Linked DNA regions of Rattus norvegicus. The protein of the gene in region 1 binds, or shares a complex with, the protein of each later gene. Links are inferred from orthologs where the notes say so. Each region holds a gene or a part of one and is shown on either strand. Other genes may lie near its edges. The genes, in order: Prkaa2 and Prkag1.

Evidence for each region.
Region 2: the proteins of Prkaa2 (region 1) and Prkag1 are in contact, whole or in part, in a crystal structure (PDB 6B1U), measured with the Homo sapiens proteins. The link is inferred for Rattus norvegicus from reciprocal best matches to the Homo sapiens genes PRKAA2 and PRKAG1. Residues at the interface, in NP_006243.2 of Homo sapiens: Asp329, Asn330, Ile333, Met334, Ala337, Phe340, Tyr341, Leu342, His366, Pro367, Glu368, Arg369, Met370, Pro371, Pro372, Leu373, Ile374, Asn444, Val446, Thr447, Pro530, Arg531, Leu532, Gly533, Ser534, His535, Thr536, Met537, Asp538, Glu541; in NP_002724.1 of Homo sapiens: His36, Asp40, Leu41, Ile42, Pro43, Thr44, Ser45, Val50, Phe62, Leu64, Val65, Thr66, Gly68, Val69, Arg70, Trp75, Ser77, Lys78, Lys79, Gln80, Phe82, Pro158, Glu159, Ser160, Gly161, Asn162, Lys170, Arg171, Lys174, Phe175.

What each region holds. Positions count from the first base shown.
Region 1 is NC_086023.1:125,106,055-125,110,604, forward strand, and holds the start of Prkaa2 (5'-AMP-activated protein kinase catalytic subunit alpha-2), read right to left. Parts: upstream 2,957-4,550; 5' UTR 2,694-2,956; intron 2,512-2,693; 5' UTR 2,264-2,511; coding exon 2,170-2,263; intron 2,094-2,169; exon of another isoform or gene 625-2,093; intron 1-624. UniProt on the Homo sapiens protein: Catalytic subunit of AMP-activated protein kinase (AMPK), an energy sensor protein kinase that plays a key role in regulating cellular energy metabolism.
Region 2 is NC_086025.1:131,856,514-131,860,919, reverse strand, and holds the start of Prkag1 (5'-AMP-activated protein kinase subunit gamma-1), read left to right. Parts: upstream 1-1,435; 5' UTR 1,436-1,451; coding exon 1,452-1,460; intron 1,461-1,504; exon of another isoform or gene 1,505-1,763; intron 1,764-4,406. UniProt on the Homo sapiens protein: AMP/ATP-binding subunit of AMP-activated protein kinase (AMPK), an energy sensor protein kinase that plays a key role in regulating cellular energy metabolism.

The DNA.
Region 1 (4,550 bases):
GACAGAGAGAGAGACAGAGGGAGAGACAGAGACAGAGACAGAGACAGAGAGAGAGAGAGAGAGAGAGAGAGAGAGAGAGAGAGAGAACACATGCATGGATGTTTGCTCATGCTCAGCCATCCCTCTATACTTACACAGTACAGGACCCAATCTCAGGGAACAGTGCTGCCCAGAATTTTTTTTTGGGGGGGGGGGGCTTCCCACTTTAACATGTGCACGAGCTAATTAGATCTAAGTAACTCTTCATTCAGATTCCCTTCCTAGCTAAGTCTTCTTTGTGTGCATTTGACATAAATAGTAACTATCACACCATACAGTGTTTCTTTAGGGAAGATCAAACAACATCAGGAAAACCCCCAAACAGCTCATTCCACCAGGGTTCTCCAAGAAAAAGATTTTTCTCGTAAATCAAAGGTCCCTTCAGTTCCATTTATACTTTAGGAAGCTGGTGGTTTAGAAGCAAAGAATATAACCAAATAGTTTTAAATTATCCCGTGACAATGGTTTGAGGAATCAGAGTTGGTATTGCACTCTACACCGAGAGTACAATAAATTTTTTTTCAAAAGCAAACAAAAGCATTTAGCAGAACATGAAAGCATAAACGGCTAAGTTATATAACTTACCCTAAATGGCAAAGCAGCCGTTTGCATAACTTTGTACTGCCAATCCAGCAAAGCAGTTCTCAGCAAAGATGGTGTCAACATCACCCATCAAATCTCTGGACCATCTCACGACTATCCACAGTTCTTACAAGATCCCGATTTCATAAGACTTCAAATAACTTTACGAACATTTTAGGTCTTTACAAAAATACCCACTTGGTGAGACCATGTGTGACCACCTTAATATAATCTGCCTAACTAAAGTCCCCATCCTTTCTTCCCCTAGTTGCCTTTCTCAGTAGGAGGGAGCATACATTTTTCACGTGTATTCTGATTGCATTTCCCTCTCGGAAAAGTCCCAAGAAAGCTCAGGTTTTGCTTTCCTAGAACTCTGTTGCCTGGAACAGTAACTCGCATGTGGTAAGAGCATTCAATAAGCAGTGTTTCTCATTGTACAAATGGGTATTAGATAGACCGAGAGGAGTTAATCCTCGCAGGAATGATGAGTCCCTGCCTTCTATTCAAGTCTTCACTGGAGGTTAAAATGTGAAAAATATGCCTTAGCATAAAATTCCCAGACTGCTTACCCACTATTTATTCAACAAAAAAAGCTAACGTTTCACTTTTAATTCTCAACTCGCTACCAAGTATCTTCTTAACAAGAGCTGGTAATCAAACCAAACCCATGTGACTCTTATTAACTAATAAGAAAACAAAGCAAAGTTTAATACTTAACTAGTAAGTGGAGTTGAAATTTCAAAAGCAACCTGTTTTTTTTTCCCCCCAAAACCCACAATTTGCCATCAAACAAACGCCTTGCCTAAGCAAGTCTGACATCTTGGGGACCCAAATTCCATTACCAAGGAACATTTTTCCCAGACCCTGACCCCAGAAGTCTTCCTAGAACCAATTTACACACACCAATCAACCTGCAGAGCTGGGGTTCCCCTAAAGCCTCTGCCCAACCAGCTGCATTCCAGCGTTTTCACACACCCAGCAGAGGGGACTCGCCACCTCTCAGCTCTAGGCATGCCCCTAGTCAACTCCACCATCAAAGGCCTGGGACAGGGAAGAATCTGGGGAAGCCAGGGGCCTTATCGGCAAGGCCAAAATTGGAGGACATTTTAGACCTCACCCTGAATCTGCCAATTCTCTGTGACCTTGGGCGTGCCGCTGAAGCCTCGGAGCTCGCGTTCTCTCACCTTTAAGGTGAGGACCGCACCCTGGCTACGCCACGTAAAGGATTAAGTGAGACCACAGATGCTGCTCCAGGCAGAGCGCTTGGCACCAGTGGGAGACCCACTCCCAATCCGCGGCGCCGTGACTACCCCATCCTCCCCACGCTTCGGGGCCCTTTGGACTGGGCCAGTCGCCCAATTCTGCAGACAAGTGAGCTGACGGGTAGAGAAAAGACAGGGTGCTCGCAGACACCCCCGCCAAGGCACAGCTCAGACCGTGGGTCCCCCTGACCCACGCCCCGGCTGCCGCGCCAGGTGCCTGTGCCCCGGGCTCGCCTGCGAGCGCTCCACCTGCCACCCGGCCCCGCGCCCGCGCCGCTGCACTCACTCTTCACTTTGCCGAAGGTGCCGACGCCCAGGGTGTCCCCCAGCACGTAGTGTCCGATCTTCACACGCCCGTCGTGCTTCTGCTTCTCAGCCATGTTCGGCGCGCGGCCTCCCCGGGCCGCGGGCTCTAAGCGCCGCCGCCGCTGCCGCCGCCGCCACCGCCTACCCACAGTGCAGCGGGCCCGGGGGGCGGGACGGGGACGCCTGGGGCGCGGTAGGGTGAGCGCGGCTCGGCGTGTGTGGACGCGAGCTGGAGGCGCAGAGCCCGAAGCGTCCTGAGGAAAGCCCACGGCGGTGAAGATGGAAGGGATGAGTCTGAGAGCGACCGAGGTGAAAGGAGAATCTGAAGAGAAGTGGGGGTGAGGGGGTGCAGACCATGAGACGTGCCTCAGGACAGCAGGACCAGGCGGGGAGGGCGGCCCTTCCCTAGCCCCTGGCACGCTCCCCCCAGGCAAGGTTTATTTGACTGGGAACGCTCTAGTCCGTACCCTCCTCAGATAGCGACCCCATTGTTTTAGAACTCACGCTTATTTTGTAGTTCCTTGTCACGTTATTGTTAGGTCGAAACCCTGGACAAACTGCCCAAGGAGACGCCTATCATTAACATATCAAAGATGACGCTGGCTGCCAGGTTCTCTCAGCATCCCTCAGTCCCTAACTGGGATAGGGTCCTCCTGCCTGCCATACCTCGACTCCTACCCCGAACTCTCCAGCCCAGGGACTCCAGCCCCTTCCCTCAGGTCCCCTGGTCCCTAGATTATTCAGCCATTTTGGCTGTGCTAATCTCTCAGCCCAGACCACCCACCCCTCTAGGCCTGGCTCCTCTCTTGCTCCCACTCCCCCTCTCTCCTCACATAGCCCTGCTCAGTCTGCCCATGTTCACCCTGGACTCTCCTAAACGTCCCTGCTTCTGCCTGTACGTTCGTTTATCTACAATAAGCCTTCTTCGTTGTGTTAGTTAAGGTTTTTTTTCATTGTGATAAAACACCATAGCCAAAAAACAAGTTGGGGAGGACAGGTATTATTGTTACACTTCCACAGCACTGTTCATCTCTGAAGGAAGTCAGGATGGGAACTCAAACAGTACATGGAACCTGGAGGCAGTCCCGATGCAGAGGCCATGGGGGGTTAGCACCGGGAGGGTGCTGCTTACTGGCTGGCTCATCAGGGCTGGTACAGCCTGGTTTTCTACAGAACCCAGGACCACCAGCCCAAAGATGGCACTACCTACAATGGGCCATTGATCACTAATTAAGAAAATGTCTTACAGCTTACATCTTATGGAGGCATTTTCTCAATTGAGGTTCCCTCCTTTCAAATAACCCTAGCTTGTGTCAATTTGACAAATGACAAACCAGCATATCCACTGTAGCCAGGAGCAATTATGTCCCTCCTTCTATTTCTTTTCTTCATTCAGTTATATAGACAATCGTGTTATAGGGATAAAAGACACCCTCTCCAGGACTCTCGATTCTAACTAATTTAAACAAAATTTCTCAATAAATCACAAACAGAGCCCTAAGTATATTTCAGCACTTGTGTGTGTGTGTGTGTGTGTGTGTGTGTGTGTGTGTGTGTGTGTGTGTGTGTGTGTGTGTGTGACTGGACAAAGGAGAAATACTAATATAGGAAATAATTCACATGTTCAGGTAAATGCAAAACACAGAAGGGATCAAAGAATTGTGGGAAACAAAAATGATGTAAAAGTGCAAATTAAAGAAATGGATTACTGAGGATGAAAGTAAAAAAATAGTAAAGAGAATCCAAAGCATGACCAGAGTATTAACAGTGGGCAAATAATTTATGATCAAGCAATCTCTTCCTCCCTGCCTCCCCCTCCCCCTTCTCTCCTTGCTTTACTTAATGTTGGTCGATCCTTCCATACCTGAAGATTATTTGCTTCCTGTTACAGGAATATGAAACTTCATACCTCCATTACTTCCATAGCAGTTCCCTGAACACATACAAACACTGTACTGGCTAGTATTGTGTGTCAACTTGACACAGGCTGGAGTTATCACAGAAAAGGAGCCTCCATTGAGGAAATGCCTCCATGAGACCCAGCTGTAAGGCATTTTCTCAACTAGTGATCAAGGGGGAGGACCCAGCCCAGGGTGGGTGGTGCTGTCCCTGGACTGCTAGTCTTGGGTTCTATAAGAGAGCAAGCTGAACAAGCCAGGGGAAGCAAGCCAGTAAGTAACATCCCTCCATGGCCTCTGCATCAGCTCCTGCTTCCTGACCTGCTTGAGTTCCAGTCCTGACTTCCTTTGGTAATGAACAGCAATGTGAATGTGTAAGCTGAATAAACCCTTTCCTCCCCCAACTTGTTTCTTGGTCATGATGTTTGTGCAGGAATAGAGACCCTGACTAAGACAAACACAT
Region 2 (4,406 bases), on another chromosome or scaffold:
TGAGGGGTACCCTTATCTTCCTTTTTCCTTCCTCTTTCTGCCCGAGCTTGTGCTGCAGTTGAACCTCTTCCTGTGGGTGGCAGTAGGGTAGAGGGTGTGTGAGGCCTCAGACCCCTCTCTGGTAGGGAGCCGAGGGGATGAGATGAAGCTTCTATGCAGTTCTCTCCTGGGGCTGTGGGCAAAGGGCATTTTGTAATTAATATTCTCAAGAATCAGATAATCTGGACTGTAGAGATGGGCTGGATGGTGGCACATGGGCAGGCCTGCTGGAGGGGTAGAGCGGTTGCTGTTGTGATTTTAGGTTTTTGTTTTGTTTTAAACTTGGGGGATTGTGGATTGATGGGGGTAGGGAGATTTTTTTCTTTTTTTTTTTTCTGGCTTTTTTTTTTTTTTTTTTTAAGCTGCTTCCTCAACTGTTTCAAGCTGCAAATGTTTATGAGAATAACAACTCCCTACACACTCCCACAGAAACCATTGTAATTAGATCAGACAGTGGGAAAACTGGGCTTGCTGTCCCCAAAGCCACAGAGCTGAAAGGTCTAGGCATTAGTTGGGGGGTTGGGGGGGGAGATTGTCTCCTGTGAGTGGGGCTCTGGCTGGGGCTTGGGCCCTAGAACTGGGAACGGAGAAGGGGCAGACTTTGTAAGCATATGCTAGGTATCCGATAGTCCTGTAGAATTTAGTGAAGAAACCTTATACAGCTTTTAATTTTTATATAAACTATAACTCAGACCCACGCTACAAGGTTGGAATTTTGGTTGTTGTTGGTTTTTTTTTTTTTTTAAGTACCCCGCCTGTATAATTGCATCAGAATCCCACCCCCAACCCCGCCCCCTGTTTGTATTTTGGGTTGGTTTACACTTGCACATACTCAATTTTCAGTTTCTCCCTTTTACCTTCTACCCTCACCTCCAGGACCCTCCCCCTTCTTAAAAAAATAAATCGCTGACAAGTGTGAATCCCGTGAAGAACTTTATTTTGTGTTGTGTGTATCCTGTACAGCAAGGTTGGTCCTTCGTAACAACGGATGAAATGGTTCCCTTTTTTAAAGCGCTCTCTCTTCCTCCACCCCCAGCGCCCCTGTCCTTGGCATGTTTTGTATCAGCGATCATTCTGAACTGTACATAATTTATGTTGCGAGAGGCAAAGGGCAAGTTTTGGATTTTGCTTCTTCAAAGTTTGTTTTTAAACGATAAATAAAAAAAGAACATTTTAAATACAAAAGCGCCTCTGTCCCATGACCCTCGCCGTTAGCCAGATCTTAAGGTCCGGGAGAGCTGGGCGAGGAAGGTGATCCAAGGCAGGCTCAGCCACCGCCGGAAGGGTGGGTTCCCCGCCTTCCGCCCTGGGCCTGGGGCGTGACGTAGGCGGAAGTGGCGCGAGGCACCGGATGTGGGGCGGGGCCTACTGCAAGGGAGCTTTCCAAGCTGAGGAACTGGCGGGTGCTAGCAATGGAGTCGGTGAGTGGCGCAGGGGGGCGGCGGGGGGCGCTGTGGAGCCGGAGACCCCCTGCTAGGAGCCGGGGAGGGCCGGGCCCAGCTTGCCGCGGGAGTCCGGGACTCCCCTCCTCTGCTTCGGTGGGTGCATCTCCGAGGTCTGGGCCACACCCGTGTCCGCCTGGGGTCTGCAGTACCCTGAGAGACGAAGCGGGCTGTGAGCTTGGAGCCCACAAACACCAGGATGATCATGCCCCCCTGTTTATGAGTGCCTCCGGTTCTTTGAGAAGTTTGCATGAAAGCGGAGTTGTGATCCCGCTTATTTAGGTGAGCGACCCCGGCTTACAGAAAGCTCCAGGACCCCGTATATGCGACCGCTTAAGCAGTTCTGACATCTGAAAGAATATACTGCATCAGTGAGGTTCCATTACTTTCATAATGGAGTTTTCCCGTGAAGGAAAGAATGCAGGAAGCCACTGTGTCCCTTGGACAAGTTTAGGTCGTGTCCTGATTGGTGACGCTATGCATGCGTGTTGACAGTTCGTTCTTGGCGAGCAGTGTTGACCAAGGGTGGCAGATTCCCGCCAGCTCCTTACAGATGCTGTAGGTTATCTGCTACTTGTTTGACCTACCTCATTCACAGGAGCCTTTCTCTGCCACTCCGAAGGCCCTCCCATCGACTTCCTGTTCCATAGTTTTTTAACTAAATATCTTCTGTGGGCAGCTTGGGGTTTGTCTTCTCCCATTGTATAGCTATGTAATACTTGCACGTTCACCCTTAGGATTTTTTTTTTTTCTTTTCTCATTTTCTTTGAGTCAGTTACTTGGCTTGGAGCAACCCCACTCCCCACCCCCCAACCCTGGCACCTTTGTCTGCAGAGGAATAGTATAACTTGACTTATAAAAAAGAAAAGATAACAGTTGTAAAGCAGTTACCAAGCAAGGATTTCATTTTCTACAGAGAAAGTATTTTCAGCAAAAGTAGTCTTATTTTTTAACTTGTAGATGTATTGTTTACAACTTAAGTATAAATGATAAACTGTGAGTATAAAGTTTAAAAGCAACTTTTCTGTATGTTAAATTTAGCCCTTTGCTAAATTTAATATCTATTGGATTGCAGAGAGATGGAGATGAGAGGTATGGGGAAGGCTGTTAGTTAAGGTAGGTTGTAGTTAAAGTACTATCCTCATGCTACAGACACCTGAAAGGAAAGGAAGGAGAAATTACAGTGAGTACAGGCCCATGACTTGGTGATGTTGAAACTGGATTTTGGTCCCGGTGTAAGAAAAACTGGCTAAGAGCATTGTTTTCTCTCTCTCTCTCTCTCTCTCTCTCTCTCTCTCTCTCTCTCACTCACTCACACACACACACACACACACACACACTCTCTCTCTCTCTCACACTTTTTTGGAAACAGGGTCCCAGTAGGTAGCTCAGATTTTCTGTGTCAGTGTGGACATGAGCCAATACTCCCAGCTTGGCCTTTTGTAGTAATGGGACCAGTGGGAGATTTATGAGCAAGGAGGCAGGGGATGGTCTCAACAGCTTTCTGTGAACAGACAAAACCACTCAGAAAGTAAGTTTTGTTTGGTTTGGTTTTTATTTTGACGTGTGTGTGTGTGTGTGTGTGTGTGTGTGTGTGTGTGTGTGGTGTGTGGTATGTGAATGTGGTGTGTGTGGTGTGTGTGTGTGTGTGAGAGAGAGAGAGGGAAGGAGGGAGGGAGGGAGATTGGGGTGGGAGAAAGTGCATTGGTGCCTTGGAACAAATGTGGAGGCCAAGGACAATTTCTTGGAGTTGCTTTTCTCTTTCTACTGACGTAGGTTTGGGGATCCAACACGGGTCATCTGGCTTATGGGGCAAGCTCTTTTATTCACTGAACCATCTCACAAGCCTGGGGAAATATGTTTTATGTGGTTGGATATGAAGTTTTCTCCAGACGAGCTACTCCAGCTATCAGCTGATCAGAGTATAAAGCAAGGAGACGATAAAATGCAGAGCAGGGAAACTGAGTCAGAGAATGCCGGGCAACAAAGCGGACGGAGTTGGGGCAGAGCGTTTCTAACCTGTCTTACATGTAAGGAAGCAGAACTACCATCCCAGGCACTGGAAAGATGGCAGAGTTGCACTGAAAAAACAAAAAAGTCACAGGTTAAGAACAGGATGGGAAGACAGATATTCTCTATTATCTTATCAATAGTCTTTGTAACGTGTGGTTGAGACGCAACTGGAAGCGTAGATCAGGAGTTTGGAAAGTAGTTTTGTCTTAGTGTCAGAGGATCTAGCCTGCGTCTCTGTAATAATACTTCACACGTGTGTTGTACAGTGATATGTTTTTGGTTCCCTGAAGTGGTTTGTTTTGGGTGTCTTGTTATCGTTTTGAGTCAGGGTCTAATGTAGCACAGTCTAACCTTGAATTCACTCTGTAGCTGAGGTTGGTCTTGAACTCCTAATCCTTCTAACTGTGTCTCCTGAGCACTGGGAACACAGTTGTACACCACTGCCCAGAGTTCTCAGCCCCGTCTCATTAAAGGAAGAGGGGAGTGGCCCTAATTCTCCCACTCGTGGAGAAACAGGCAGGAAGGATGAAGTCACGTTTAATTGTTTCTATGGTGGGTTCATTAGTTGTGTCTGACTGTTTGCCTTGTCAACTTGATACAACCTGGAATCACCTGGGAAGAGAGCCTCAATGAAGGGTTATCTGTCTATATTGGGTTGGCCTGTGGCCATGTCTGTGGCATACTGTCTTAGTAACTGCTATGGGAAGACTTAGTCCACTATGAGTGGCACCATCCCCTAGGTAGACGGTTGTATGAGAGTGGAGAAATGAAACAGTGCAGCAAGCAAGCAAGTGAGAGTATGTCCATTCATTCCTCTCTGCTCTTGACTGAGTACTATTTGGCCAGCTTCCTGAAGTCCCTGCTGCTGTGTCCTCCCTACAGTGACCTCCCCACAGTGACCTCACAATGATG